Linked DNA regions of Tribolium castaneum. The protein of the gene in region 4 purifies or fractionates together with the protein of the main gene of each other region. This does not show direct contact. Links are inferred from orthologs where the notes say so. Each region holds a gene or a part of one and is shown on either strand. Other genes may lie near its edges.

Region 1 (4,243 bases), on a different chromosome or scaffold from region 4:
CCGGCAGTGTACGAATTCATCAGAGGGGGCTTCCAAATTGAACCGTCTTCGCAAGCAAACAAGAAATGTTTTAAATTATATAATTCTATTACAAAAGATCTAGATATTTTCTTTCATAATTTCCGACCAAAAACTCTACAATTCGATCTATTTAGTCTCTTTTTCTTCGTAATTTATAATGTTTTGTACAAGTGTTATGTCTCTATTTTGTCAGTTTTTTCTTTTTTGGTATTTTTTTACATATTTTATTTGTATTGTTTATATATTGTAACTGTAATGACTACTCGTCCATTTATATAATTTTATCCATACGAATTACATACAATACAAATGTCCTTCATATACTTCAGAGTATACGTCATTTTTTAAGAATAAATGTTTTTAAAGGTGACAAAATTTACTGGAGGATATAAAACCAGAACAACTTTAAACGATAAAAAGAACTTTAAAGAAAAACACAAATGGTATTATTTTTATTGCTTCTGTGGATTTTCTTTAAAATTCAATAATATCCCAACTTTTTTCAAAGTTTATTTGTATCCGTATGTTGTGTATCATGTCTTGACGGAGATTATAATTTTGCCGTTTGAGAGCGTTTTCGCGAAATCTCCACAAAATTAACACGTTTTAGAGCAAAACCGTCCAAAACACCAAATTCTTACTTTTGAAAAGTCGAAACTCTTTGACGCTCCACTCTTTCTGTGAATCCCCGTGCATGATGGAGTAGAGTTTCCACCGGTAGTAGATATGAGCCGGGCTTTGATTTTCGAAAAGAAACCTGTAATTAGGGTTGTGTATCTCCCGGTTCATAATCATAGCTTCCAACATGGGCCCCTCCCGAACCACAAACTCGACCATTCTGTGTATCAACATCAACAGATTTCTATCGGTCGGAATCACAACTTTGACAACACTGCGCCCCAAAATCTCGTTCAGTTCCTCTGCAGATTTGGGCAGAACGTCCTTATCCCGGGCGCAGGGCTGGGCGTTGAAGGGCAGTCCTGAGGGAGGCGGAGGGAAGGACAGTTCCAGGAGCGCGGGAGGGATGTAAATGGGATGTGGAGGGATTATTACCGATTTTCCCCAACCAAGTTTCATTTCATAACCTAGGATTTCTTTGCCGTTTAAGTTACGAAGCGCCCTTTCGCCGTCTTTTCGGCTCATGTAGGCCACGAAGCCGCAGTTGCGGCCCCGGGCCTTCTCCTCGTCCGAGCGGGGCCACATTATTTTAATACTAGCAAGGGGGCCGTAACGACCGAAAATTTCCATCAACTGTTGCTCGGTTATTTTGGGGTTGAGGTTGCCAAGGTAGAGGTTTGTCGTTGTGGGGTCGCCGTTATCGAACGACCCCAAGTCACCGCTCCGCAAAAACATGTCCAGCTCGGACTCCATGGGGGTCCTGAGCACCCCTTTGTACTTGTGTCTTTCCTCCCGCTCCTCCTGAATCCTGGCAAAAATTTCATCAAATTGTGCCACAAAACAAGAGACCGGTCAGAATAGACATTTCAATTTCCAAAAATTCGCATAGCGGTGAAAATTCGTACAGGACTTATGTAAACTATGACAAATAAACTATAAAAAAACTCCCCACCGATCCGACGTGTGCTAAAAAAATATTTTAATAACAATAATAATTTATTTATCCTTAGAAAATTTACATTAATTTATAGGACACGTCAAGTAATAAACTCATCATAACTGTTTTATCAAGATATGGTCAAATAATACGCCTAAGTATTTTATTGTTCCTAAGTTTTCAAAATTTATATTACGGAGAGAGAAAATCATTCATTTTGTTTTGCGTTCATTTAAACATAAGTACATTTGCAGACCATACAGGCGCTTTTTCCTGCATTTGGCATAATTCCGGCTTTACAAAAAAATGCAAAAACCGATACTTTTGTCCTTTGACATTGAATAACTTTTTTAGCACACGTGGGATCGGTGGGGACTTTTGATATTTTATTTGTAATAGTGTACCTAAGAACTGTACCAATTTTTAGCTCTACGCTTATCACTACATTTTTGTCTATTTTGACCAACTCAATGGTATATTTACTGTCTTAATTCCTCTTTAAACGCCTCTAGGTTGCTCTTAGTGTGCTGTTTCTTCTTCCCTAACCGTTCAGGCTTCTTATCTGAGATTAATTTAGCGTAAAACTGAGCTTTTTCCGTTGATGCCATTAATTCAGTGGGGGCTAGTCGGGACTGCGGTTTGTACAACTTGCCCTTGTCTTTAGTATCCTCCTCTACAAAAGCCCAATTTATTTTTGATTTTTTTCACAATTTAAAAAATACTTCGCGCTCCTGCATCGTAAGTCCCCGCTTTGACCCACACTTTACTCGAGCTGCTAATAGGGGACTCTTGGAACGTAGCGACAAATTCCTCAAAAACCTTAAATCGAAGAGGTTATGTAAAAAATACTACTGTATTACTAGTCCTACATGAGCCGCAGCCCGTTCCTCTTCTTTTTTCCGTTGTTCCTCTAATTCTTTTTTAGATAACGAACGTTTCCCCATCGTGCCGATCGAAAAAGCCTTTAATTTTTGCTCAGGAATGTTCTGTTACGAGAAAAACGTTAGTTTTGAGGGGTTTTATTAGGGTGAACTACCTTTATTTTATCACCCATTTTGGACGCAATTCCCACCAAACACTTCACAAAACGGTTTTAGCTAATTAATATTGAAGGAAACCTAATAATAGTCATAATATAATTGTTTAATTTCCTGATATGAAAAAATAATAATACACTGGTGGTTTTAGGGAGTTTGCGTTTTCATATTGTGGGCTATTGGCGACGCTGACACTGCGTGTAAACGTTCCCAAACTTTGGGCGAAAATACATGAACCAAAAAACAACAAAGTTAAAACAATATCCACACGTTTTTGTACTTTTTGTAAAAAACTAAAAAACTCGAAACTAAAAATTGATAACGTAATTATGTAACGTTTTATAAAAAATGGGTGTATTACGTGTTGCCTACAAGAACACTCCAAAATCTCGTAACTATGTTTATTTCAAAAATAAACAAAATGTTTGTGTTTACTGTAATTATTCAAGTCATTAGCTTCATTATGTGTTTATCATTTTCACATAAATCGTCCTATAAACTCATCAAATAAAAAATATATATAAATTAATAAAAAACGCAGACTGTTAATTAATATTTGTATCAACAAAAAAAATCATTACTATTTTATTTTCATTTTATTTTGGGAAATAATAGTCTCTACGACATGTGAATCGCTAATTACATAATCACTACTGCCAAGGCCGCTTTAGAGGTCGCCGCTCATTATTAGTATTATTGCATAACAGTGCACTTGAATTGCAGTTTTAGGGCGAAAAACTGTTTTCGTAGTCATCGATAGAGTAGTGTTTACGTGTAGTCGTATCAGCATTTTACGTTATCTCATTCATTTAGTCACAATTCTCCTTCCTTGTTTACTTCAATGGCCACAATTTACGACCTCTTCGTCTCACATTAGTGGGATGGGCTCAAATATTTCAACCAGTTTTTATTTTTAATTCAATTCAGTGGCGCCATTCAAGGCTGAATTCTCGTCGAAGTGGTGAAAAGAAATGAATTACGTCTAATTACGCCACGGTTTTTCTTCACTTAGGTACGTGGATGATTTATAATTGATTTATTAAAATAAACTGTCTCATTCATGAAACACTAAGGTAGGTTAGGATTTTACGACACATTTTTATACAGGGGGTGATCCACAATTTGGGCGAAATGTCTCAAGTTCGCATTTGTTTGGAGAATTATTCTGGGACATATTATGCCGGATCTGAGATTAGGGGCCGGCTTGAGTGTTATTTTGATGAAGAGACTACTGTTAGAGGTGCATTATGATTTTTGTAGCAATGTGTTTTTACATTTTTTTCTAGGAATAAAACTTGAGATCATATGTAGGGAACATAATGAGTGGACTGGGACTGAGGAGTATAAGGACCCAACAGACAATTCCACTAAAACACGACATATTACTTTAACCGGGGATCATGACGTGTTTCATGTTAAACAGATGTTGTTTGGGTCTGAATCTGGGAGTCGGGAGGTGTCTAGGGGGCGCCAAGTGTACCCTTTTTCGTACCATTTACCCTACGATATTCCTTCGAGCTATCATGGCCCCCATGGCTCCATCACTTTCAAACTAAAGGCTGTGGTTGATAGACCCATGCGGGTTGATTATGAGGATAAGTTTATTTTTAATGTCATCTCCCCGATTGAT
Region 2 (4,300 bases), on a different chromosome or scaffold from region 4:
GGATTGTGAATTTTTGTTGCGTTACTGTTGTTTTTGGCTTTGATTCGAAATAAAATTCCGTGACTGTGGTGGGTTTAGGGTGGGTTGTCACAGATTCGGGTTCTCCTAAAGTGGTACCATAACTCGTTCGACTCCGAGTGGTCGTAGGTACTATCTCTGGTATAGTGGTTTCATAACTGGGTGTTTTTGCTATTGTCTCGTACGTATTTTTCGGGTGAGTTGTAGTGGGTACCGCCTCTACTACAGTCGTACCATAACTAGTTGACAGGTATGGAGTTGTGATAGGTACCGCCTCTATGATAGTAGAACCTTGCAGGGTTGTGACTGGTACAGCTTCTACTATAGTAGTTGAACCATATGGAGTTGTAGTGGGTATTGTTTGGATTGTGGTAGTAGTTTTAGGACTACTTGAAGTGTGTAGCGTTCTAACTGGTACTTCTTCTACTAGAGTCGTTCTGTAACTAGTTTTGGGGCTAGACGGTGGTAGAAAAGTAGTGCCTTGATTGGTTGAAGTGTGCAAAGTTCTGACTGGCACTGCTTCTATCACAGTGGTTCCATAACTGGTGGTTTTGGGGCTGGATGATGTGGAAAAAGTGGTATCATGACCAGTTGTAGGTCGTAAAGTTCGAACGGGTACTGCTTCTATTACTGTGGTTTCATAACTACTAGTCTTGGGGCTAGACGATGGTAGAAAAGTGGTTGACGTGTGCAGAGTTCTGACGGGAACTGCTTCTATTATAGTAGTTGTTTTGGGGCTAGTCGAAGTGGTTTTGGGACTGGTTGAAGTGTGTAAAGTCCTAACGGGTACCGCCTCAATCACCGTACTACTTTTCGGTACAGTGGTATAAAACGTAGTACTTTTAACCCTCTCGGTCGTAAAGGGCCCAATAATTGTAGTTTTCTGCTCTGTATACGGTACTTTTTCAATTGTGGTACTTTCTTCTTTCCTAACCGAAGGTTGAGTCGTGGTAACGTACGGAATTGTAGTTTCAACGTTTCGATCAGGGGCTGGAAGTTGTTCACTGATTGAATCCGGTCGTGTGTGTTTCGGAACTTCCGTAACCGGTTTCATCGGTTCGGTTGGACTAACCGGGAACAAATTAACTCGTTCTTCACTTGTCGTAATTTTTTTCGTAGTAGTTGTGCGTAACGCCTCCGAAAAAATATCAAAACTCTCGTCTTGTTTTTCCGTTGTTGTCTCAACCGGAGTGTAATAATGAATGGTTGTGATGGGTTTCGGCGACTTTGTATAACTTTGGGTCGGTAAAGTCGTAATCGGGATTAATTGTCCTTCACTTACGACAAAAGTCGTAGTCGTAGGAGTCGTAACTGAGAATCGGTGAGGCCCACTTGATGTTTTCGCCGCCAATGACTCGATCAATTTTTTGTACAGTTCGTATTCTTTTGGATCGATTGTTGTTTGGTCGTGGTATGAAGTGAAAAATCCGGGAAAACTGTGCAACACGTGTTTGTACCCATCCGGGGTCATTTGTATTAAAATTCCGGGTTTGTAGTGTCCATGATCTTCCTCTTTCTTGAACCACTCTTTTTGTCCAACTGTGTTCACACCCGGATCGCTCTTAATCACGAAAATGTGTCCCGGGACGTTATAGTTAAAAAACCCATGTCTTTTGACCAAATCCTCGCTGATGGTGTGCGTGATGGGCGAAATCGTGTACTCGATTTCGTACACGTGCCCATAATGGGGGTCCCGATGTCTTATCCGCTTCACCGTCCACAGTGCGAGTAGTTTATGGTGACCGAAGGTTTTCCACTGGCATTGGGGCGACGTGAGGCATCTTTGACAATCACAGTCCACGTCTTGAACAAATTTGAAACCTTCAGGGGTTATGTAGAGTTGTCCTCGTGCCAGAACGGCGATGTCTCCGAAAGGACTTGCGTCGTCCTGTCGGTTGATAAAAGGGGCTGCCAGGAGGCGGTCGCGGAGCCCCGGGTCGGTGTAGTGTTCCCGGAGGAGGGCCTGATGCACGGACTCACGCAGCCCCAATTCCCAGTCGGTGGGAGGATGAAAGTTTCGCACGGGTCGAGTGATTGATACAGTTTCCCATAGTTGGAGAGTCTGAAAATGAGAGTTTTCATTTTTTAATAACCTTGGACTTGAATGGGATTGTTAGTCGTGGTAAAATTACCAAGAGTAAAATGAAGATTATTTCGAAGTGTCCCATTTTAGACCCACTGGGTGTTTGCAAATGTTTGAAAGCTGCACATGTCACTAGTTCGCTCGGTTTCTTACAACTAAATCTTTTTACTTAGAGAGATTGAAGAGTACCCCACCGATGATCCTAGAAGCTTTCGACATAATTGCTAATACATTGTCTACTTTTCTGCGCACTGATGAATATTAATTATTTTTTTCTTGTGTGTGCAATGTGCATATTATATTACTTAATTTAGACACATGCCAAGATAATTATCTCGGGGTTTTAAGAAAAAACCCGAATTATTATTTTCGGACAAGTTAATTTGGCACGACAGTAATTAACTAAAATGACTCTCATTAACAATGAAGTTTTGAAATTTTTATTAAGAGTGATGGGTTTGTTAAAATTAAACCTTCGGAAAAAGTATTGTCCGAAGTGAGATTTTTTAATTAAAAATTTATTAGCAAGGTTTTATTGGCAATTCTATGATGAATTTGTATTGTCGCAACATCTTGATAATTGCATTTTCATTACGATAAATAATGGACTCGCACTTTTAATTTAATTTATTTTTTACCTTCTTCTTTGATGGTGGATTTTTGTTGATTTAATTTCTGCAAAAACATTTTTTTTCTTTATGTTACTCGAAGGAAAATAGAGAAATTTTATTTTCACCGAAAAGCGTGGCTAATTGAAACCTTGTGGTGTTACCTAAGACCCTATTTGCGTAAAATTCAGTACTTGAGGTAGAATATTTTCATTTTTATTGCACAAATTCATTACCTTTGATTTAATCTCCGCGTTATGAAACCAGAGATGTTTACGATCGTTCTTATTTTTTTCTTTTAATTCGTAATTTTGCTCACGAATCTTCAGTTTCACCTTGAACTTAATTGCTCTGAAAAGAACCGATTTTAAGTCAGCGGCGATATCGCAAAGTCGCATCTTTACGCTTGGAGATTTCGAAACGAAAAACAATAACGAAAGTGCATGTTACACGATGAAGATTACAATTGTTTGAAACAATCATCACAATGAGCAAATTTGACATAATGGTCACGGTATGAAGTGATTCTTGTAATTTAAAGGAAAAAGTCCGAAAGTAAAACGTGCGTGAATTTGACCAATTAACACGAGAAAATAGCTATACATTGCAGCTTGCGTAAGAAAGGGATACGATTATATGCGTTCGAGAAAAAACGAACGTTTCCGTTATGATTACTTGCAACAATATTGGATTTTCTGGTCGGTGGTCTTCCGCTATTATTAATTTTTCTTTTCCGTTTCGGTTTGCGGAAAACAATTTTGTTGTATTAAACGGATTGTTTTTTTGAATAATTCATTTATTTAAAGTGGAACGGAGGATTATGAGGAGTTGTGAAAAAATCCAGCTTCCGTCGTGGCGAAACCAAAATTATGAAATTTTTTGTCATGCATAACAAATCGTGTTTTAGCGTCACTTCCGGGTACTACGGCTGCCCATCAATTGGTGGTGTCAATACGTCAGAAGTGCACCCCCGAGGAGGTCCTAGGGGTGCTTAAGGACCTCCCAAACCCCCGTTCAGAAGAAGAGACTGATAGCAGATTTAATCCTCTCAAAATCGACGTTTTTGTGCAAACTCTACTCAACTTAGGGTCGAAGAGCTTCTCGCACAGTTTTGCAGCGATTTCCAAGTTTCTTTACGTTTTTAAGGTACTCAGGCTTGAACATTTGTGTCTTAAATCACTTTTTTTTTGATAGATTTTAGCAGAGTCGGAGGAAGCTCAAATTTGCGTTTTACGAAACATGTTCGAATTGTGGCACCACCACCAACAAATGATGGTCGTTTTAGTTGACAAAATGTTGAAAATTCAAATTGTCGAGTGTTCAGCGGTCGCTAATTGGATTTTTTCCAAAGAGATGACGGCCGAATTCACCAAAATGTACTTGTGGGAAATTTTACATCTGACTATTAAAAAAATGAACAGACACGTGATTAAGCTAGGGGGTGAACTAGCTGAAGCTAGAGAGAAACTAGCACGGGCTGAAAGCAGCGAAAGTGAGTCTGAAGATGAGGATTCGAAGAAGAAGCAATCTGATAACGAGAAACCAACTGAAGAGTATGTTGAAAGGATGGAAGAGAAGTTGGAAGCGGCAC
Region 3 (4,300 bases), about 3.8 Mb from region 4:
TGCTTTACAGAGTCCTAAGAACTCAAAAAAAAATTCTGCCCAAGCACGAATATCTGTCCTTGTTAATGGTATGCGGTGGCGATTTTAAATTTTTATTGATGCCAGAGGAGGAGATACACTGTACTAGTAATCATTTTTGGTTTTAATTGATACATCCATCATTCATGCATTTTTTTCAGAATATTTTTGTATTGTTTAAAATTGCTTTAAAAGAAAAAAAAATTGTTGAAATCTTATTCTCGAGTAAAAATGATCATTCTTAAACTTCTAGTACCATCTTTCTAAGTAGTTATTTTATTTTTGATATTTAATTCAACATCCAAAAAATGAAATATTGCAAAACTTTTGAATCTACGAAATTTTCTACCCATCTTTGTGATTCATTTTAACGGTTTTTATAAATATTATCAGTAGAAAAGGAACTTAGTACCAGTCCAACTATTTGCACCCTACAGTTGTAAAATTTTAAATACGAACACGAAAAACACAAATTGATAGCGAATAGGACATAAAGAAGACTTTACATTTTATTGTTAAATATTATGTTAATTTAAAATGCACTAATTCCTACAATTATTCTCGAAACCGAGGAATAATGCAGTGTGCATTGATTTACGATTAATTTACTTTTTGTTTATACATGATGGATGGGACACTACCAGAAACTAAAAAACACTTCAGAAATTATTTACCAATTATAGTACGTCAGCTGTCAACAGTATTTTATATTATTGCCTACAAGGCAATGTATGTAAATGTTGGAATTCACTTTAAATAATTATCGTCTCATGTTTTAAATCCACAACAACAAAAAAACTTTTTTGTTGTAAAATACATCAAATACAAACTGAATCGTATATTTTGAAAGAAACTTTGCATTATTAAATTTATTTTGAAAATTACGGTGTCAGGTTGCATTATTCCTGGAATCGCTGAATTAAAATTAAATTAAATAAAAAATTATTTAATAGTCAACCTAAATTCTGTGCAATTATTTATTTCTGAGATACGTATAGTAAAAATATAGTACTTCATTAGTAGTCTCACTTTGTATGGTCGTCATAAGGATAAGCATCTCCTTTTGACATTTGGATTCAAGTGTTCACTTTTAGGTTGAAGTGATACTTTTAACTATTAAATACTAATATTTGTAAGTATGTTTATAAGTATTAAAAAAACTGATAATTACAAATTTTTATGAATATCACCCAATACCCAATAAAATATAAAACCAGTGATAAAAAATTCCTGAAGGCAATGGAACATCTGCAAGCTTTTATCACCGATTGCGACCGTCGCACCGAGGCCGCCAAGCAACGCCTCGCCGAAACCCAAGAAGAACTATCGGCTGAAGTGGCCGTTAAAGCGAACAGCGTGCACGAATTGGCGGAACAAATCGGTCAAAAGCTCGCCAAAGCCGAGCAACTCGGCGAAGAGGGTTTTGTCGACGAAAGCATGAAACTCATGGAGGAAGTGGACGAATTGAGAAAGCGTAAATTGGAAGCCGAGCAAGAGTATCGCAATTCAATGCCGGCAAGCAGCTACCAACAACAGAAATTACGAGTTTGCGAAGTTTGTTCCGCTTATCTCGGCATACATGATAACGATCGACGTCTCGCTGATCATTTCGGCGGGAAATTACATCTTGGGTTTATTAAGATTCGGGAAAAGTTGGCCGAACTTGAGGTAAGGATATTGTGTTTTATGTACAGCTTGTACAGTCACCTAAATTGAAAATGACGCAACCAAACCCTGTCATATTCAAAAATCATCAGAGACATTTCGTTATTTATCCTTTGAAATGATTGACGATTTTTGGTTGGAGATGGTTGATTAAAAAACATGACAAATGAAACAATTTTTCACGGCCTCTTCGATAAATACATAATATTTATATATAATATAAATATATACATGCAATTTTTAAATTCCCCGCAAAAAATAAATTAGTTTGCATATTTCATTCACCAAATTAGATTGAAGTTGATGTTCCACTGGATTTAATGCATTTTTGAATCAGATACTCATTTATTTTACAAGGTTAGGTCAGAGAACGTCTAAAATTAATAAAAATATATTCTAAATTGGTGGTATTTGAATCGCTCTGGTTTATTTTTGTGCGAGATTACATCAAAAATAAAAGAAGAAAAAAGTTATTAGTAAAAATTATGTTATCCTCCCCTCCCCTCTCAAGCCCCGTAACTGGAAAATTACAAAATTAGGTCGAATTGATTAAATTTCGTTTATTTTGTTTGATTTTGAACACGTCAATAATTTTAGAAACATTTTCAAACAAACTTTGGTCAGAAGGTTGTTAAACTTAGTTTTTTGCACGATTTCACTAGAGGAGACCGAAAAAGCACCAAATTAAGTATAGCACTACACAATTCTTGTTTTTTGAGTGTTTTAGCACATTCTCCAGACAGAAATTGCAAAACTTCGTTAAAGTTAGCCGTAAAATCACCAAAACAATTAATTTATTTAGATTATTTCTCTCGATTTAATGCATTTGGACTTTATTTTGCAAGATCATTCTTAAGCTATGTTAACTGGATTAAGCTCTGTTTTGTATGAAATTTTTTGTGGTCAAAAATATGTTATTTGTGTATTTTTGGAAACACGTGTTTGCAAGATATATCTTCAGTTTCTTGCAAGAAATCGATTGAAAAATCATTTTTAGTCAAATAACATTCATTTTCCTTTTCCATATGTTTTGATATAGTTTTAAGGAATTATTTCTTAACATTTTCAAATAAAACAGCAAACAAAATTTCAACAAGTTAGACCCCATTGTTAATTCGAGGTTTTCGAATTTTTAAACAGGTTTTTGAGATAAAAACGGTGTTTTTTTAAGAAAAATTTTGATTATTAGGTTATTTTTACCAGCTTTCGTCGAGAGATCTATCTATTGTTCAAGAACAATAAATTTTAGTTAAATAGTACTGCTATTTCTGCGTTTCCCAAGAATTCAAGCACTTTTTAGAGCTAAGGTATCATTTTTTCTGAAGATTTCGATGAATTTAAATTCAAAATTATCTTGTTTTTGTCTTTTTTTAGCATTATTTAGCAGGATATTCTTATTTAGAATAGAAACTAAGAACAAATCGAAAAGTTTCCCAGTTATACTAAAGTGGGTGTTATTTTAGTTTTCTTCGAGTTTTGTTGAAGCAAAAAAAGTTCTTTTCGAAAATTTTAGGTAAAATTGGGGAAAAAAATATCTAATTAGATCGAAATTGATGTTAATTGTCTTTTTTAGATCGACTTTACAAAAGAACTCGTTAAAACACAACAAAAAATTACAAAATAAATGGAAATTGATGTTAGTGTCTCTCGATTTAGCTCATTTTGGAGCAAAATTACTTCAAAATAAGCCGAAAAACCGTAACATTCGGTCTGAAATCATGTTCCGTTTTTGAGTTAAAAATATTAGGTTTAGAGATGTCGCTAAAGAAAACCAAAAAATCACCAACTTTTGGCTTTTTACACTTTAGTGCTTTATTTAAAAAAAAATGGGCATAAGTGGCTGTAAAAACATCAAATTTGATCGAATTAATGTTAATCTTATTTTATTTCAGTCATTTTCAAGTCTTGAACCTGAAACTTATTTATTCTATTAAATGCTCCCAGAAATCACAATAAATCACATAAAGTGATCATAATAAGATTAAAATATTTTGCCTGTTTCAGGCAATTTCTTTTGTTTTTAAGCGAAATTTCGTCAAGATAGGCTGAAAAATGTCAAAATGTCGACCAGAAAAAGGTTTTTTTTTTCTCAAGCTTCTAAACACGTTTTTGAGTTTCTTAACTAAATAAATCGTGCATAAAGCTCATCTAATTGGCCAAAACTCAAAAAAAATTTAAATTTTTCAGTATTAATTGACCTGCTTTAAGTATAAATTAAATTTAGAAAGTAAATTCACTCCAAACTCAATAATAAATCGACATTTTTTCATTATTCTTTCTTCACATTAGATTAAAATTAACCATTTGGAGACTAGAAACGTCGCAACGAATTAAAAATAAATATTTTAATGCCATCTTTAACGTAGTCAATATCAACCACTTTAAGGAGTTTTAAGTAATTTCAAAATATTTTATACTTTTATATATTGTAGAAAAACGCCGAGAAACGGAAGGAGGAAAAGCGCAAGTCCTCCCGTGACAGAGACCGGGACGATCGGGAAGATAGATACAGGGAGAGACACCGCGAGCAGTATGTCGGGGGGCGCGAACTGGACAGACGCTCCAAAAGACACCGTTCCAGATCCTGGGACCGCAAAGAAAGGGAAAAGAATGACAG
Region 4 (4,172 bases):
TGTTTTTAATTTTAAATGTCCCAATCTTTTATGTCCACCGCTAGATTTATACCAAATTTATACCAATTATTACAAAAATTATACCTTTATTACAAAAATTATTGTTAAAAAAATTAGAAAATTAATTTCAACTCACCATGACTTTATTAAAGTTGTACATACTTATCAGTTATCATGACTTTACGTTTAACCGCCCTAATTGTTAATTTTAATATTAAAGAAGTCAAAAGAACATTTATATCTCCGGAACTTATTTAAAAAGCCAAAAACGTGACGAAATAGAACTAATTACGAAACATTAATCCACTCCAAGCTATTTTTTGAGATGACATTAATTAATTTTTGTTTCCATTTTTATTAGCCCTCGAAATGTTTGTTTCAAAGGAAAATACGCTGCGATTTCACTTCGAACTTTTCAGTAATTGAAAACTGCAATAACTTGATGAGTGTTACAAATAACAAAATAATTCTTGAACTAAAAATGTATTTGAAGTGTTTTCATCTCGATTATGTAAGGGTTCGCGTTTTAAAATAAAAAAATTAAAACTTTCTCACATCTCAAAAATTTCACAGCACGTACATTTTTTCAGTTTTCTCTTATCAAAACCCAGCCTTGTGTAAGAACGTTATTTAGAAGGAAGATATGAGGATGTAAACGCACAATTTGTCCAGTTTTAGGTTTTTAATTTTTTTGCTAAACGGCCATTCCAAAAATAAAACCCTACACCGAAATTTTCAAAATAAATTTAGTAAAGTTTCTTTCAAAATACACAATTCGGTTAATACTTAATGTTGATGCTGTACTTTCTACTGATACTATTAAAAAAATTGAAAATAAAATCTTAAATTTTTTGCAGTGTCCAGTTAAAATATGTACACACAGTATTAATACAATTTGTCTTATTAATTATTATTACACTTAAATAAATAATTTAGAAAACACTGGTGTCTTTATTATTAAATTCTCCGTAAAAAAGTGGCTATCTTAATTTTTAGAATACGAAATTATGAATGTTTTGTCTGAAATTATTTACTCAAAAGCATAAAATGTGACAAAGTAGTAGCAAAAACCAATGGATCAAACAAACCTCGTTATTCCTACCTTGTAACAACTAGTTATCTCACAGATTATAACTTTTGTTGATGACATTTTATCCATAATCTTACACAATGATTATTGTTGCGGCATTTAATGTTATTCAGTTTGTTACTGGCTGTTGTCGTGAGTGAACGTCTCATATAAAATTTAACATACTTTGATATTGTTAAAGTCTTTAATAATTAAAACCTATGTGATTAAATTTTCTGTACTTATTTTCACACACAAGATTTTTTTTCTGCCGACAGTTATGTGTAAACAAAAAATTTCGTGGTTCGTGGTTTCAGTTTCAACAAGTTCCACCTTTTACTTCAAAAATAATTCTTGCAATTAGTGCCTTTAAATTAGCAGAATTTTATAACGATTGTTCATCAATAAAAATGTGAAATTTTTTTTGTCCCGTCCGTCATCGATTTGTATTTCTTTTCCTGTTCGTATTTAAAATTTTACAAATGTGACTGTAATTGTAGGTTGCAAACAGTTTGACTACTACTAGGTTCCGAAAAAAAAATCACGTCTACTGACCTTGTTCATAAAACTTAAAATAAAATCTAACAATTTGTGCAAAGTGCCCTAAATTCAAATTTAGCTGAAAAATCTACAGAACAATCAAGTGTTTTTGATGTTTTTTTTTTAAATTGTACATTAACATTTAAGCACCCAAAGCTCTGTTAATTTGAATAATATCAAAAAAAGTCGAGAGAACATTTTTGCGTAAAATTAAATGCTTTATAATTTTCATTTAATACATTTTTTTTTCTAACTCGTACCGAATTTGAGTAATCTTTAAAAAACACTTCTTTGACTACGTTTTGCAATACTTGTATCCCCTAGATTTTGATATAAAGACTTATTTGACCGGACTAATTACGCCAACCCCACCTTTGAAATTAATCCCATCAAAAGCCATCGCTTGCGTCGTCTCATCAATCGACCTAAACTCCAAAAAGGCGAAATTCTTGTCCAAATTAATCTGGCACGCCAGCACCGGATTCCCTGCAGCTTGCGCCAAGCCACTGAGATGCATTTGCTGGTTGAAGAACTCCATCATCTCCTCCTCAGTGACCCCGAAGGGGATATTCCCCACATACAGCCGCCTCGCCTGTCTCGTAATAGTCGACCCGACGACAGGCACAGCCGCTTGGGGCGTATCCGCCACGATGTTGGCCGGGATCTGCCCCGCGGCCTGCATGGCTTTGTACTGCAAGGGGGTGATGTGCTCGAACCCGGGCGGGGGCACGTCCCAGTACAGCGAGGGCTTGCGCCTCCGCGAGTGGCTCTTATGGCGACTCCTAAACCCCCAATTAATCCACGAAACCAAGGCGAAATACTCACGTTGAGCGGCTTTTCCGGCGGCGGTCCCGGGACCTGGAGCGCGACCTCCGGCGGTGCTCCCGGGAGCGGGAGCGCCGTCGGCGGTCCTTTTCGCGGTCCCCGCGCTCCCGGCTCCGCTCCCGCTCGTTGTTTTTACCGTCTAGAGGGGTTAGAATTGGGTGAAACTCGCCGGTTAAGTGGGGCCCGGACTCACCTTTTTCCTCCCCCATTGTGGAACAGTAGCACAATTAGGTCAAATTTTACAAAAATTAAGCACAATTTGGGTCAATTAACTCAAATGTTTGGTTTGTTTTTAACACAACTCACAAAACGTTCAAAATGGCGTCAATTAATGTCAAGGGGATTGTGGGTACCTGTCGGTAATGTCGCAAACTGTGTCGTTTGAATTACGATTAATTTAATTAATTATTTACAATTACGGTCTTGCTTAACTTGTTATTGTTAATTGTTTGTAAAAGTACGATTGTCGTGCGGCGGTAAAAATATTTTGCTTGATTGACGTAAACAGAGTCGGACTGTTTTTCGGAAAATTACCACAGGGCCGGCTTCAGCCGAACCAATCGATCTATTAATAAAACACGTTTTGTTAGATTAGTGTGTGCATACATTGTAAACAAACCGAAAAACATATTTTGTAACAATAAGACTAAAAACACTTTCAAAGCGGCGATAAATTAATACAAACAATTTGTATTATCAGTATCACTAAAAATGTCGGTGAACTTTTGCTTTGTTACCAAGCTGGTGGCAATTAATACTTAATAATAATAATAAACTTTATTAAATATAATGATACATTTACAAAAGGGAACAGTTCGCAGATGCTATCTTCCATTGGCCCTTTCATTTTTGCACAAAATTTGATAATAATCACACATCATTAGAGATGTGACCAGTTTCAATTTTATTTATGAATCTAAATGCCTAAACTACTAAAAATACGAACTAGATTACAAATTTTGAAAAATTGGAATAATTAGGATTATATTCATGACGTCACTTGATAGAACACATGATAATTGTTAGTGAAAAACATATGACTATCCATTAAACAGTCATTAGTCTGACAACTACTGTCATGGTAAAATTATATGAAACAGCCTGTACATGCTCATCAAAGCACTATTAAATTACTAAATTTTTCCTAGTAAGTTTTTGGTTATATAAATTCAGTTGTTGATTATTTTCAATCAAAGATTGCCGTCTGACAGTTGTTTGCATTTAGATTTACACCGTGTTTTTTGTATATAGCTTTATAGTTTTGTCATAATTGAATGGAAATGTCAGATACAAATGCATATCGTTAGCATACATGTGAATTTTACAGTTAGTTATATAATTAGTAAGATCAAAGGTATATAACGAAAACAGCATCGGACCCAATACACTGCCCTGTGGTACCCCCCGTTTTAATACAGGGTGATTCAAAACTACCATACAATCTCTCGAGTGTTGAGAAAAGACTGAATTAAAAGTTCCTATGGCAAAAAAATGTTTAAGCTTTTTTTCACGAGATATAGCTCCTCGAAGTTAATTTTTTATGTTAATTTTTTGGTGCTTCAGATCATATTTTTTTTTAAACAAATAGCTGTTGAAAAAAATAACAATTAATATCTTTATGATGTCCAAAACAATGAAAAACTTGTAAATTCGACAATAAATTAAATTCGACATCCTAAGAAACAACAAATATATATAAGAAAGTTACTTGAAAAAAATCTGACTTTATTTAATAGCT
Region 5 (3,984 bases), on a different chromosome or scaffold from region 4:
CATCACAATTCATAGCCAAAGATTGTTAAATAGTGTTCAAAGGCGATGTGTTATGTGTGTTGAACAACAAGGAAGACATTTCCAACAGTTTTTATAAATAATAAATAAATTTTATGATGAAAATCTGTTTTCTTTTAGTTGTCAAAAAGTAAGGTTATGAAAGAACGGATTAATCACAGACATAGTAAACAATTATTTTTTTATTTTCAAAGCACTCTAGAGTTTTTTTTAAATGAACACTTGTTATTGTGTTAATTAATTTGATGATTTTAGCCAATTCTAGCAAAAGTTTGTGCTTACAGCCCGGAAAAAAGTAAAACTAACACAATTTTCGACTTATTTATAATGAGTTTTGACGAATTTCACTCAAACTCAAATATACTAAATAATTAAATAATAATTAATGTCGATTCACTTATGTGACAAGATATTACAAAATAAATTAGTTTCCGAATGGTTTTGAACGAAATTTTGCGGAATATTTGTGGTTTTAAGTGTAAAACGTATTAAAATGATCGCAAATGAAAAATTAATGTAGTTTTCTATATTTAATTTGGCGATTAAAACAAAAATTCAAATGTGCTTGAAAGCATGAATAAAGAAAAAATAAGAATTTTAACAATTTCATTGGTTTCTTGTCTTGTTTTTGGGAACATTTCATTCAAAAATAAGCTGATAATAAGTTTTTGATTTTTAGGTGTTTTGTCAAGATCTCGTAAAATAAAAGAGTCGGCTTTTTATTTTTTTTACGAAATTTGGAAAACAGTTCTGTCTTAAAAGCGTACTAAAATGCTCGTGAACTCGAAAAATAATAAAATCTTAGAATTAATTTGGTGTTTTTTTCATCTACCTTTTTAGAAAAGCCTCAAAAAACAGAAAAATTATTTCTGCATGTTTTTCTCAGTTGGTTTTGCAAAATTTCGCCAAAAAAGCTGAAAATTAAATTCAAAAACGTGCTCTAAAGCTTAAAAAACGTAAAAATTTTGATCAAATTTTGTGGTTTCTTGCGTTTTTTTTTAAAGGGAATTTCGCGAAAGTTAATCAAAGTTAATAAAAACAAAATAATAAGTTTATATTTTTATTGTTGGGAAATAAATAAATTCCTGGCTCAAAAACAAACAAAATCGAAGGGAATGGTCTAAAATAACAACCATCTTGATGTAAAAATAGTGCTTTTTTATTAAGTTTTTGTAATGTTTATAGAAAAAAGCTTAAATTGTTTTCAAAAAAAATTTAAAACACTTGAAAACAACAAAAAAATGTAACATTTTCGCTCTTATCTTAAAAAAAAAATTCGAAATAACTACATTGTCGAATGTTATACGAATTAAATTGCCGGAAAATGGCAAAAATAACAAGATTTCAACGAAATTTTGCTTTTTGACTGCAAAATGTATTACGAAAATAGAAGATTTCCCAAATTAATTTCCTGATTTCTCAGAATAAGTTCGAGATAAACAACCTGAAATGACATCATTTTCGATCACTTTATTGAAATATTTAGATATTTACTTAAAAAAAACAACGCATTTTTGGCTCAATTCAATTAGAATTAGGTTAGAAAGAAATTCTTTTATTTGAACGAACATTTAGTTAAAAAATATCAGTGTTTTGAACACATCCTGTGACTTTTGGCTTATTTTTGATGAAATTTCGCCCAATAACAAGCTAAATCGAGTAAATCCAGCAAAATAACACCAACCTTTACACGTTTTTCCAATTGGTAAATGTGCTAAAACACTCGTAAGAGAGAAAACTAAGTCATTTTCTACCACATTTAGTAATCTTTGCATTTGTCAAGTGAAATTTTTAAAACGACAATTGTGCAAAATGCAAGAGATGTTCGGGGAAATACTGGATGGTATAAATAAAAACATTGAAAATATACCGGATGTGAGGCCAAAGTCTTGAATCCCCTCAACTGCTCCGGCGTGGACACCTCTTCAGGCACCGTCTTGCTCCTCTTCTTCCTCTCCTGCGTCAACACCGTGGCCTTGTCCTGCAGCTTCTCAATCACTTCATCAGTCAGGCCGCATTGCTCTGTCGGCTGGTTGGCGATGCCGCCGGCCTCGGCCGCCACCGCGGGCTGCGGCACCGTGATGATGCCCGCTTGGGGCTTCAGCGTGGCCAGCGCCTCCCTGGCGGCGGTCACCTCCTTGTTGAGGCGCGCGATCACGCGACACGCGGCGTCGTGCTGGTAGAGCGCGTGGCTCAGCTCCTGGCGCGCCGTCTGCAGCTGCTGCCTCTGCGTGAAGCTGTACAGCATCACGGCGTCCCACTCGTCCTGCAGCAGCTTCAGCGTGGCCGGGATGCTGGTGGCGCTCGGCGGCTTCGGCTTGACTATCGGCGGGGCTGTGTGGCGGTTAGAACCGAACAAGTTGGGTTAGGCTACTCACTCTTAATTTCAATGAGCTTGTCCACGGTGAGCTCGTCACCGCTGATGGGGTCCTTGCCGTGCTCCTGGATGTACTTTTCGATGATGCGTTTTTCGAAAATCGCACCCGACGTTGGGGACACGACTGGGTGTTCCGGCACCTCGTTTGAAACTGAAACCGGGCCAAATCGTTACCCAAACTGCGCCAGAAGCTCATTACTGACACTCGAATTAAGTTTTGATTCGTTAAAAAAGCGTACTTTATTCAAAATCGCAACAAAAATTCATACTTACGGGCACAAAACAACGCCATTTTTGCTAACTTAGCTTGATGTGTCGCCAACCGCACAAAGTGAAAAACACTGTGGCCGAGATATCTGTGCAGATGCACTAAAAATGATGATGGCACCATGAACATTACAGTCGACCAGACAATCGTTGCGCGCCTGGAGCTAGCAACATTCTCGTTTCTACAGCCAAGTTCACACCAGGAAAATTATCAAAATAATCGTAAATCATTAGAAAAACATACCCTGATCATTCTAATGTGTTTCTATTACAAATTAAAACTTGACTACATTTTTATTCTTATATTCAAGCAATGCAAATTGTTTTTTTTCACCCCCTTTTTACCGTGCAATGTTCATTATTTTTGTAGGGGAATAAGCCCTTCGATAGGGCCTTCGGCTGTAAAAAAATGTCTCAATTTTGCAAACTGCGTTAAAAAAATTCGTATTTAAAGATTGCTCTAATCAGTCAAATTAATAACTAATTTGTCCAGCAAGAACCACGTGGAGGTTTAGAGCATTCTTGCCAGGAAAAAAGGAAATAAGGATGAGGTAAACAATGATTATTGGAAAATAAAAGGGAATAAAGACATTACTGGTTTGTGTAATAAAAAAAAAGTACACAAAAATCAAAGTTTTTCACTTGGCGTTAAATAAATGTTCTTACCTTTATACTGCATCTGCTACCATTTGTAGCAAAACCTAAAAAATAAATTAAAAACACAACCAACAAAAAAAAATAATTTGTAGGAAAGTTACAAAAAGCGACACTAATAAATATTATACAGAATAAAGGATGCACAATACGGTATAATATATGGCACACAAGCTATTAAATTCAACACATCACAAGATAAAACGCAAAAAAATGCACCTACCTTCATATGGCTTCTGCGTTGGCTACTGTTTGTAGCAAGACATTAAAAAATAAAAACAACACCAATAAAAAATCTTTATTTGCATGAAAGTTACAACAAGCAACATTTGTCAATATTAAACAAAATAAAAAATACACAATACGTTTTAATATGTGGCAATTTAAATTTAAAACTTCAGTAAATAAATACACCTACCTTCATATCGCTTCCACGTTGGCTACCGTTTGTAGCATTAAAAAAATAATAATAATAAAAATGAAACCAAAAAAAAATGTTTGCATTAAATTTAGAGCAAGTGACTTTCATCGATTGAAATTAAAGACAAAATCAAAACGCGACGATAAATTGTTTGAGTGTTTTCTTTTTAGTTACTGAATTTAAAACTCAAACTATGACTTTTCAACACCGTATTAGAGCCGGTGTACACAACATTTTATTTGCAATT
Region 6 (4,136 bases), on a different chromosome or scaffold from region 4:
TGCAGCTCGGTCAACGAATGCGACTCGTGATTCGGCCGCAAAACGGCCAAATTTACATCGTGGGGGCGCGGCAGCCCCCTTTGAATCACCTGCGACCGCAGGGCTAACTCCTGAGCCGCCCGAATTTTCGCTTCTTCAAGCGCTCGCGCATCAACATCTGCCTGATCTTCGACAATATTTGGCGTTTTTTCTTCTTCTTTTTCCTCTTCTTCCTGTTCGGGAACGACGATTTCGTAGTCGTTCTTCGGTGTCGGTAAACTACTTAAGCCTAGTCTTAGTTGTTCTTTTAAATTGTTTTGGAGCGAACGCTGTTCGGCTGGAGTTTGTGCCACCATTTCGGTGTTTTCCTCATTTATATTGAGTTTGTCACGAACTGAAGGCGTAAAACTGCCTTGGGGGCCCTGCGGTGTCATGAAACCGGGGGTTTGGGCCCCGAAAGGGGTCGCCAGGACCGTATTGGGAGTGGCTATGGTGAGGGCTTGTGGTAAAACGCCCGAAAAATCCGAGTTGTGAAGTGGCGTGTTTCGGCCCCCTTTTGAAAGAGATATACAAGGTGAGGCAAAGTTTGCAGTTTGGCGTTTTGCGACTAAACTATTAACTTTTTGGGAAAAGTTATTAGTGGATGGTACACTACTATAAAAATGGGACTTTTTTCAAAGTATAAAGTTTTTTAATTTTTTCGTTCGTTTTGAAGTTATGGTATTTTTTAGGTAGTAACCCACCTAGAAATTTTTTTATTGGTTATTAAGTTATTGAGACAAATAAAGTAATAAAAAGAAAGAACTACAAGTCATTTAATGTCAATTTCATTTTTTTATTTTTTATTTTTTTTACATATTATGAACAAGAAAATTGATATTTCATCCAATAAAGACAGATTTGGAATCTTCAAACAATTTTAAGTCACATAGGCATGCTCTTGGCAGGGTATTCAGTTATTGTGACTTAAATAGTTTTTTTATTGGTAGGTGACAAAGTAAAACTTTTAACTGTATCTCTATATTTAGCTCGTATTATAAGAAAAAAAAAATTTTTTTTTAATTTATTTGTACCTTTCTTAATTATTATTACGCACATTTTTAAAAATCAAGAACTTACAAAAGTTCTTAATTTCGGGATATTTTTGAGCAATATAGCGGGTGAGGCAAACTTTGCAATTTAGTATTTTTTGGCGAAACTATTCACTTTTTGAAAAAACAGATTGGTGGACGGTAAACTACTACAAAATTGCAATTTTTTTTCAAGAATAAAATTTTTCGATTTTTTCGCTCCTCTTCGAGTTACGTCATTATTTATTTATTTTTTTGTGATTTTTTTTTTACCTTTGAGTGGGGTATCCACATGCGTCAAAGCCATGACATTTTGCGCTTCTTGAAGTATCCGATCAGTTTGCGGTGCCGGAGTTCGGGGAGTCACCGCTGCCGCTTGTGGCGCCGCCACCGTATAATCATTGAACAACGTATCAGTCGACTCGATTCCACTCTCTGCTGCAACTTCACGTGCAACTTCACTCGCTTTACCCAACTTTACGACTTGTTGCAACTCCAGATCGCTAATTTGCGGCTCGGGAAGTACCAATTTCGAGCGTTTTTTCGCCGGTTCTTGATTCTGTAGCATCGCTTGTGGAATATCATTTTCTTTTCTTTGTTTTAATTTTTGTTTATCTTTGCGACGTTCGCGTTCTTCTTGTTCGCTTCGCAGTTCACCGTCGAGATGTTGTTGACGCATTTTGTGAAAATCGGGCGCCATTGGATCAACAATTTCGGTGGAAGTGTCGTAAAAACCAATCGCTGGACGTTTTTCGAAGGGGATTTCCTCATTGTAGTCAACACCGCGTTTTTTCTTACGACGCGAATTCACTTCGATGCCGGCAGCTCGAAGCTCGCGCCTTTTTTGCAGTGCTGCCAATCGACGCGCTTCTTCCAGCTGCTTTTCGCGCGCTTTTCGCTTCGCTTTTTTGCCCTGGGTGTTGGCAAGCCTGGCGCGCGCCTCGGACAACATCTCCAGCTCTGCAACGACAAACACGCGTGCCAACCTTTTTGCGTTATAGTATACTATACAGGGTGATTCTTTTGCGGTTTTGAAATTTTTATTGCATTTTTGAATTCGTGTTTTGAAACTGAGAAAAATGTACCCCATTTGTTAGCTCTTACCATCCTCGTCCATGTCTTTGGGGTCGGGCCTCGCAGGCTTGGTTTCCGGATTGGGGTCAATTTCCCCCGGTTTGAGCTTCCGGGGGTCGTCCGTGACATCCTCCCCTTCTTCCTTCTTCTGTGCCTGATCCAGGAGGTACTCGTAGCGCTCCAAACACTGAGCGGCCGTTCGCCCGATTATGGGGGCTATCGTGCGCCACTGAGTCGGCATTAACTTGGCCAAATGTAGCAACTTTTCGTCCTCTTCCCGCGACCATTCCGTTTTTTTAATACTGGGGTCCAACCATTCGAACCAACGCGCTTTACACTGTTTGGCCGATTTGCGGTGAAGGAGCGAGGCAATTCGAGACCACTGGTTTTTCCCATATTTCATTACCGCCGCTTTGAGGATCTCATCCTCGGTGTTGCGCCAAACGCCCCCCTTTATCATTATACGCGGCATTTTTGCACTCTTTAGTTAAAAACCTAACCTCACTTTTGACAAAAACTTAAATTTTATAACAATACCACTAAAAGCACGATAATGATGCTTGGGTCAACACTATTGAGTCACTAATTAGATAAGAAGTAATTATTTTGGGACACTAATGCAAAAAACGGCCCTTTTTAAACGGCTTGATTTTTGGTTATAAAAATGGCCGTCCTTGAGTTGGCATAACTGTTAGTCGAGAAAAAACAAAAATTGGGGATTAAAAATAATCAGAACCGTACTTAGAACGTATTAATCGTGACACGAGACTGATCTAAAACGTGATAATTTTTTCCTGTCTTGAAATAATTAAAAAAGTGTGGTTGGTATCTCGCGTCAGTCGGCGAAAGTCCCTAGCCCCCCCAAATCCCTGTGTTTATTTAACCCTTTTGAAATGTTATCTCGGTGATAAAGCGCCCAAGTGTTGCCCCCTTTCGCCCCAATCGTCTAAATTCGGGCCCCAAGCCCTTAATTTCGCCCTTAACCTCACTTCTCCTGTCACTTGTCACTCCCAACTGTCATTGTTATTAGCCCCCAGAGAGCACCATGTCGTTCGCTTTGCGCGTCAAAACCAAAACGGGGCAACAAGTGATCAAAAACCTAACACCTGAGCACACGATCAAAGATTTGAAGCGCCAGTTGTGCTCCATATCGCAGATCCCCGAGGACAGGCTCCATGTGTTGTCAGGGTTCCCCCCGAAGGCGTTCGCCTTGGGGGACGATGGTCTCGAGTTGAGTCGCAGTGGTCTCAAGTCGGGCGATACCCTGATTTTGGAGGAGAAGGCCCGGGAGACTGCGCCCCCCTTGCGGGGCCATATCAGTGAAAGTGTCGACTGTCCGGGGATTCTGATGAAGAAGGTGGTGCCGGCCGACAACTCGTGTCTTTTCAGTAGTGTTTACTTCGCCCTGAACGGGAAACTGGACGAGAGTGGCACGGCAGCCCCCTACATGAGACAAGTGATTGCCGAAACGGTGGCCAGCGACCCCGAGATGTTTTCCGAGGCGATTTTGGGGAAACCCAACCGTGAGTATTGCGCCTGGATCCAGGACGACAAGTCATGGGGGGGCGCCATCGAGTTGGCCATTCTCTCGAATCACTATGGGTTCGAAATTGCCGTCGTAGACACGATCAACGCTATTATCAACCGGTTCGGGGAAGACCAGCATTACACACTTCGAATTTTTCTAATGTTTGATGGTATACACTATGACCCCCTTTTTTTGGAATCGTCCGATGTAATTTCCTTACTCAGGGGGTTATCAAAAAATTATTTGATTCGTTTCAGGGGGCGAGTATTCAGACGATTTTTCCCACTGATGATGATAAGGTTTTACAAGAGGCGCAGGAATTAGCGCGCGAGGCGAAGTCGAGTCGACAATTCACTGATGTTAACAAATTTACGCTAAAATGCATGAATTGTAATATTTTCCTTAATGGACAATTGCAGGCAAGGGAGCATGCGCAAAGTACGGGACATACGAATTTCGGGGAAGTCTAGCACTGCCAGTGACCA
Region 7 (3,965 bases), on a different chromosome or scaffold from region 4:
CTGAAGGTGGAAGGGGGACAGGTTACCGGCACGAATTTCACGCGGGTCGGCCTCATTGAACGGCTGCTCCATGGAAGAGGGGTTGTCCATCGTGGGGGCCCAGTCTGTGAGTTCATCGTCACCGTCGTGGCCTTCGCCCCCGCTCCAACTTATGCTGCTTTCGCTGGTGAAGTCGCAGTCGTCGATGCTCTGCGTCTCCATGGTGTTGGTCTAAGGAAATTTGATTTTATTCAGGGTGGGTTTAGGAGATGGGAGCTACTCACGTCGTCCAGATTTGAGGAATTCTGGAACATTTTCTCAATTTTGTCGACGACAGTTTGGTGCAAAGGGCGGATTCGAGTCGGGTGCCGCAAAGAGCGCCCATTTTCGACAATGTCGAATCTCTGGGGGCGCTTGCGCTTGCCACACGGGGGCACCGGCGCTTCGTCAATACTCATGCGTTTAAGTTTGCGTTTTCGGCGCAAATTTGGCCTTGCTGGCGAATTTTCATTCACTGAGTCGCTCTCTAAACTGTGGTTCACCCCCAACTTACACCGCCTACTGTACCTGATATAACTCTGTAAGGCGTGTTTTAACCGCCATTCGAAGCTACTTGAAGTCTTCTCAGTTCGAGTCTCGGAATTACTGCTGGAACTGTCTTCTGCTTGATTATCGGGGGAATTGTTCATGTAAACTACTGTAATTACAGAATTGTTATTCGACACCTTTTTACTGGAGAACCGTTTACGTAAGTTCCCCGCGGAGCGAGTGCGACGTCTCATGCCCCATTTTCCGGGGGTTTCATGAGCGAAAGTTATGGGACCACAACTTTCGGATTCTTCTAGAGCCACGCTCAAATCTTGGGCGAGATGATCCATAACTTTGAAGCAGCCTTTTGATTTGATTCACACACGAGATTTTACCCAAGGGCCCACTACATCGTCTTTGTGTTTAAAATTGCCAAGTTTTTGCCCAAATTTTAACGAAAATAAACACAATAAACGAGTCACGACCACACTGTCAAATTAGGACGTCAAAAGTGAAGCGCATGTGCGCCAACCCGACATCTGGGAAATTTTGAAATTTTATTTTGTTCTTTTTTATGTTACTCTATCACCGAAATAAATTGGAATCAACACAATTTGCCAGATGTTTTATTTTTATTATAAAGGAGCATTTACAAGAATGCATATTATAGGTTTAAATAAATAAAATGCTTTCGATTGCGCGAATTTTGAATTCGACCGAAAGCGCAGCCTCCTCTGCCAATCCGCCATACTTGTTTGCTCTTCTTGTGGTGTTGTTCCGCGTCCTCAAAGATGGCGGACAACGACATTGATTTATACGCGGACGATATTGACCAAGATTTTGCCCAGGTAAGTCCCTAAAATAAATGAAAGCTTCTCTAGAAGGGCCCTTGTGTCCTTTCCGGTCAATATCCGCGCTTGTTTCGGTGCCAAATCGAAGCTAGTCGCTGTAGTTGGGAGTGATTGTTGCCGGTCCTGTTGTTGGCCATTGTCGTAAAAAATCGGGTTAAATAGTGTCTTCTGGTGTTAGGACGACTTCGGGAGTGAAAACGTCGATCTCTACGACGATGTAATTGCCGCTCCCGCGGCCACCAACAGTACGGAAACGACGGAAACCAACCATCAGCCCGCTACTACGGCCACCACGGAAGAGACCAATGGAAACACTTATTCGACTCAAGGCAACAATATCACTCCAAATGTGGGGCGAAGGCACCAATTGTATGTCGGGAATTTGACTTGGGTATGTGTAAATAACTTTCCTGATGTTTTTGATTTAAAACGGGTCTTTTAGTGGACCACTGATCAAGACATCGCCAATGCAGTCCACGACATCGGCGTCAATGACTTCCACGAAGTTAAATTCTTCGAGCACAGAGCCAATGGCCAGTCGAAGGGCTTCTGCGTCATTTCTCTGGGCTCTGAAACCAGCATGAGACTCTGCATGGACCACCTCCCCAAGAAGGAGATCAATGGCCAAAATCCCGTTGTCACACTCCCAACCAAACAAGCCCTCAGCAATTTCGAAAGTCAGTCCAAAACCCGGCCTTCTCCCTCAAATAATTCCAGTAATCGCAACCAACATCCTAGCCACGCTAACAATTCCATTCCTCCAGGTCCCCATCAAAATTACGGTGGTAGAATGCCCATGAACAACCAAATGCGCGGCCCCATGCCGCCAGGCATGGCCGGCCCGGGAGTCCCCCGAATGCAAGGCCCCGTTGGCTACAACGGCCCCCCTCAAATGAACCAAGGACAGCCTCCACGGTTCCAAGGACAACCGCAATGGAACGGCCCCAGACCCAACGGACCTGGCCCGAACATGGGACCAATGCGGCCCGGACCGCCCCCACAGGGCCCTCCACGACCACCAATGGTAATCTTCGCAAAAACCCCAAACTGGGAGTAACTTTTCGTTTAGTTCCAGGGCCCCCCACAGGGACAGATGCCCCCACGCGGAATGCCCAACCAGGGCCCTCCTCCAGGCCCCATGCGTCCTGACTGGAGCCGCCCCCCGATGCAGCAAGGCTTCCCCCAGGGACCGCCTCACATGCAGGGCCCCAACATGGGTCCGCGAGGACCACCTCCGATGGGAGGCCCTCCGCCACAAGGCCCGCCCCAGGGGCCGCCGGCACCCCACGTAAACCCCGCATTTTTCCAGCAAGGCGGTCCTCCACCCCAGATGCAACATCCAATGCAGGCCGGACCTATGCCACCGCAGGGGCCACCACAAGGCCCGCCGCATGGACCTCCACATGGCCCCCCGATGGGGCCTAATAGTGTACCGCCGCATGGTCCGCCCCACGGTTATGGACCGCCTACGAGCATGCCGCAGCCACCGTATGGAGGCCCGCCTCCGGATCACCGCAACGATATGCCCCCAATAAGCGAACAAGAGTTTGAGGATATTATGTCAAGAAATCGGACGGTTTCGTCGTCGGCTATCGCTCGAGCGGTTTCGGATGCTGCCGCCGGCGAATACGCTAGCGCAATAGAGACATTGGTCACGGCTATATCTCTCATCAAACAATCGAAAGTCGCGAATGATGACAGGTGTAAGATTTTGATTAGCTCGTTACAGGATACTCTACGAGGTGTGGAGGATAAGAGTTACAGTTCGGGAAGAAGAGATCGGTCAAGATCGAGAGATAGAGCACACAGGAGAGGTCGTAGGGAACGATCGTCTTCAAGATATCGCGAAAGAAGCCGTGAAAGAGACAGAGATCGTGACAGGGACCGCGATAGAGATAGATACTATGCGGATAGTTACAGGGAGCGGGAGCGGGATAGATCCCGGAGTAGAGGAGACCGGGAACGGGAACGCGAATACAGAGACAGAGAAGCAGATGATGCGTAAGTGGTATTTTGCAACGACGTTGAGTAAATTATTAGTTTGGATTTTTTATAGGTCCCGTGTGTCCCGGTCCAGGAACAAGTCGCCTCCTGACGCAGTGGATCCCTCAGGAGAGCCGACATCGAAATCTCGTTATTACGAAGATAGATATCGTGAAAGGGAGGGACGTCGTGAAAGTGAACGGGAACGTGAAAGAGATCGTCGAGACGAATCTCATCGTTCTCGGCATTAACAATTTTTTAGGCCGCATTCGTAATATGTTGTACCATACATGTCATGCATGTAATGAAAAAAATATACTTATATAGTGTTAGGTCAAACTAGTACACATCTCTGAATTTCATTATGTAATCGAAATGTTTATTTTGTTTGTAATATCTAAACCTATTCTACAGAAGAAGAGTGAAGAAGACGCTTAATCTGAAGAAGATTGTATGTTTTAGATAAAAAATATGGTTTAGACTGAGAATGGATTTTTATTTTTCTCTTATTTGATTGATTAACCTACTTGATCCGTTATGTAATTTGTACTGTATCACCCCTTCACTTGTTTTTATTTATTTATTATTTAAACCTCTTGTAACATTTCTTGTTGTACACTTATC

The links.
Region 1: the proteins of U2af50 (region 4) and U2 snRNP-associated SURP motif-containing protein purify together in Homo sapiens (affinity purification with mass spectrometry; 3 studies listed by BioGRID and IntAct, counting the BioPlex papers as one, with this or other methods). This does not show direct contact. The link is inferred for Tribolium castaneum from reciprocal best matches to the Homo sapiens genes U2AF2 and U2SURP.
Region 2: the proteins of U2af50 (region 4) and Cbp80 purify together in Homo sapiens (affinity purification with mass spectrometry; 3 studies listed by BioGRID and IntAct, with this or other methods). This does not show direct contact. The link is inferred for Tribolium castaneum from reciprocal best matches to the Homo sapiens genes U2AF2 and NCBP1.
Region 3: the proteins of U2af50 (region 4) and putative RNA-binding protein Luc7-like 2 fractionate together in Homo sapiens (co-fractionation; 3 studies listed by BioGRID, with this or other methods). This does not show direct contact. The link is inferred for Tribolium castaneum from reciprocal best matches to the Homo sapiens genes U2AF2 and LUC7L2.
Region 5: the proteins of U2af50 (region 4) and Prp19 purify together in Homo sapiens (affinity purification with western blotting; 3 studies listed by BioGRID, with this or other methods). This does not show direct contact. The link is inferred for Tribolium castaneum from reciprocal best matches to the Homo sapiens genes U2AF2 and PRPF19.
Region 6: the proteins of U2af50 (region 4) and Cdc5 purify together in Homo sapiens (affinity purification with mass spectrometry; 5 studies listed by BioGRID and IntAct, with this or other methods). This does not show direct contact. The link is inferred for Tribolium castaneum from reciprocal best matches to the Homo sapiens genes U2AF2 and CDC5L.
Region 7: the proteins of U2af50 (region 4) and cleavage and polyadenylation specificity factor subunit 6 fractionate together in Homo sapiens (co-fractionation; 3 studies listed by BioGRID, with this or other methods). This does not show direct contact. The link is inferred for Tribolium castaneum from reciprocal best matches to the Homo sapiens genes U2AF2 and CPSF6.

Annotation. Positions count from the first base shown.
Region 1 is NC_087403.1:337,015-341,257, reverse strand, and holds the start of U2 snRNP-associated SURP motif-containing protein, read right to left. Parts: upstream 2,801-4,243; 5' UTR 2,631-2,800; coding exon 2,613-2,630; intron 2,563-2,612; coding exon 2,446-2,562; intron 2,396-2,445; coding exon 2,299-2,395; intron 2,250-2,298; coding exon 2,060-2,249; intron 1,448-2,059; coding exon 663-1,447; intron 47-662; coding exon 1-46. Other genes in the region: arrestin domain-containing protein 3, read left to right, coding at 3,745-3,853, 3,900-4,243.
Region 2 is NC_087397.1:5,580,077-5,584,376, forward strand, and holds part of Cbp80 (nuclear cap-binding protein subunit 1), read left to right. Parts: coding exon of another isoform or gene 1-2,080; intron 2,081-2,150; coding exon of another isoform or gene 2,151-2,186; exon of another isoform or gene 2,187-2,300; intron 2,301-3,616; coding exon 3,617-3,855; intron 3,856-3,903; coding exon 3,904-4,300. Other genes in the region: mucin-2-like, read right to left, coding at 1-2,080, 2,151-2,186. UniProt on the Homo sapiens protein: Component of the cap-binding complex (CBC), which binds cotranscriptionally to the 5'-cap of pre-mRNAs and is involved in various processes such as pre-mRNA splicing, translation regulation, nonsense-mediated mRNA decay, RNA-mediated gene silencing (RNAi) by microRNAs (miRNAs) and mRNA export.
Region 3 is NC_087399.1:9,864,837-9,869,136, forward strand, and holds part of putative RNA-binding protein Luc7-like 2, read left to right. Parts: intron 1-1,254; coding exon 1,255-1,686; intron 1,687-4,115; coding exon 4,116-4,300. UniProt on the Homo sapiens protein: May bind to RNA via its Arg/Ser-rich domain.
Region 4 is NC_087399.1:6,083,456-6,087,627, reverse strand, and holds the start of U2af50 (splicing factor U2AF 50 kDa subunit), read right to left. Parts: upstream 2,801-4,172; 5' UTR 2,644-2,800; coding exon 2,628-2,643; intron 2,574-2,627; coding exon 2,435-2,573; intron 2,392-2,434; coding exon 1,982-2,391; intron 1-1,981. UniProt on the Homo sapiens protein: Plays a role in pre-mRNA splicing and 3'-end processing. By recruiting PRPF19 and the PRP19C/Prp19 complex/NTC/Nineteen complex to the RNA polymerase II C-terminal domain (CTD), and thereby pre-mRNA, may couple transcription to splicing.
Region 5 is NC_087395.1:23,126,225-23,130,208, reverse strand, and holds the start of Prp19 (pre-mRNA-processing factor 19), read right to left. Parts: upstream 2,801-3,984; 5' UTR 2,793-2,800; coding exon 2,669-2,792; intron 2,547-2,668; coding exon 2,397-2,546; intron 2,353-2,396; coding exon 1,889-2,352; intron 1-1,888. UniProt on the Homo sapiens protein: Ubiquitin-protein ligase which is a core component of several complexes mainly involved pre-mRNA splicing and DNA repair. Required for pre-mRNA splicing as component of the spliceosome.
Region 6 is NC_087400.1:3,567,162-3,571,297, forward strand, and holds the start of Cdc5 (cell division cycle 5-like protein), read right to left. Parts: upstream 2,801-4,136; 5' UTR 2,596-2,800; coding exon 2,154-2,595; intron 2,010-2,153; coding exon 1,323-2,009; intron 533-1,322; coding exon 1-532. Other genes in the region: Yod1 (ubiquitin thioesterase Otu1), read left to right, coding at 3,169-3,858, 3,909-4,121.
Region 7 is NC_087402.1:4,011,784-4,015,748, forward strand, and holds cleavage and polyadenylation specificity factor subunit 6, read left to right. Parts: upstream 1-1,165; 5' UTR 1,166-1,298; coding exon 1,299-1,355; intron 1,356-1,536; coding exon 1,537-1,749; intron 1,750-1,800; coding exon 1,801-2,382; intron 2,383-2,427; coding exon 2,428-3,359; intron 3,360-3,414; coding exon 3,415-3,592; 3' UTR 3,593-3,829; downstream 3,830-3,965. Other genes in the region: uncharacterized protein LOC658351, read right to left, coding at 27-210, 264-676, 728-857. UniProt on the Homo sapiens protein: Component of the cleavage factor Im (CFIm) complex that functions as an activator of the pre-mRNA 3'-end cleavage and polyadenylation processing required for the maturation of pre-mRNA into functional mRNAs.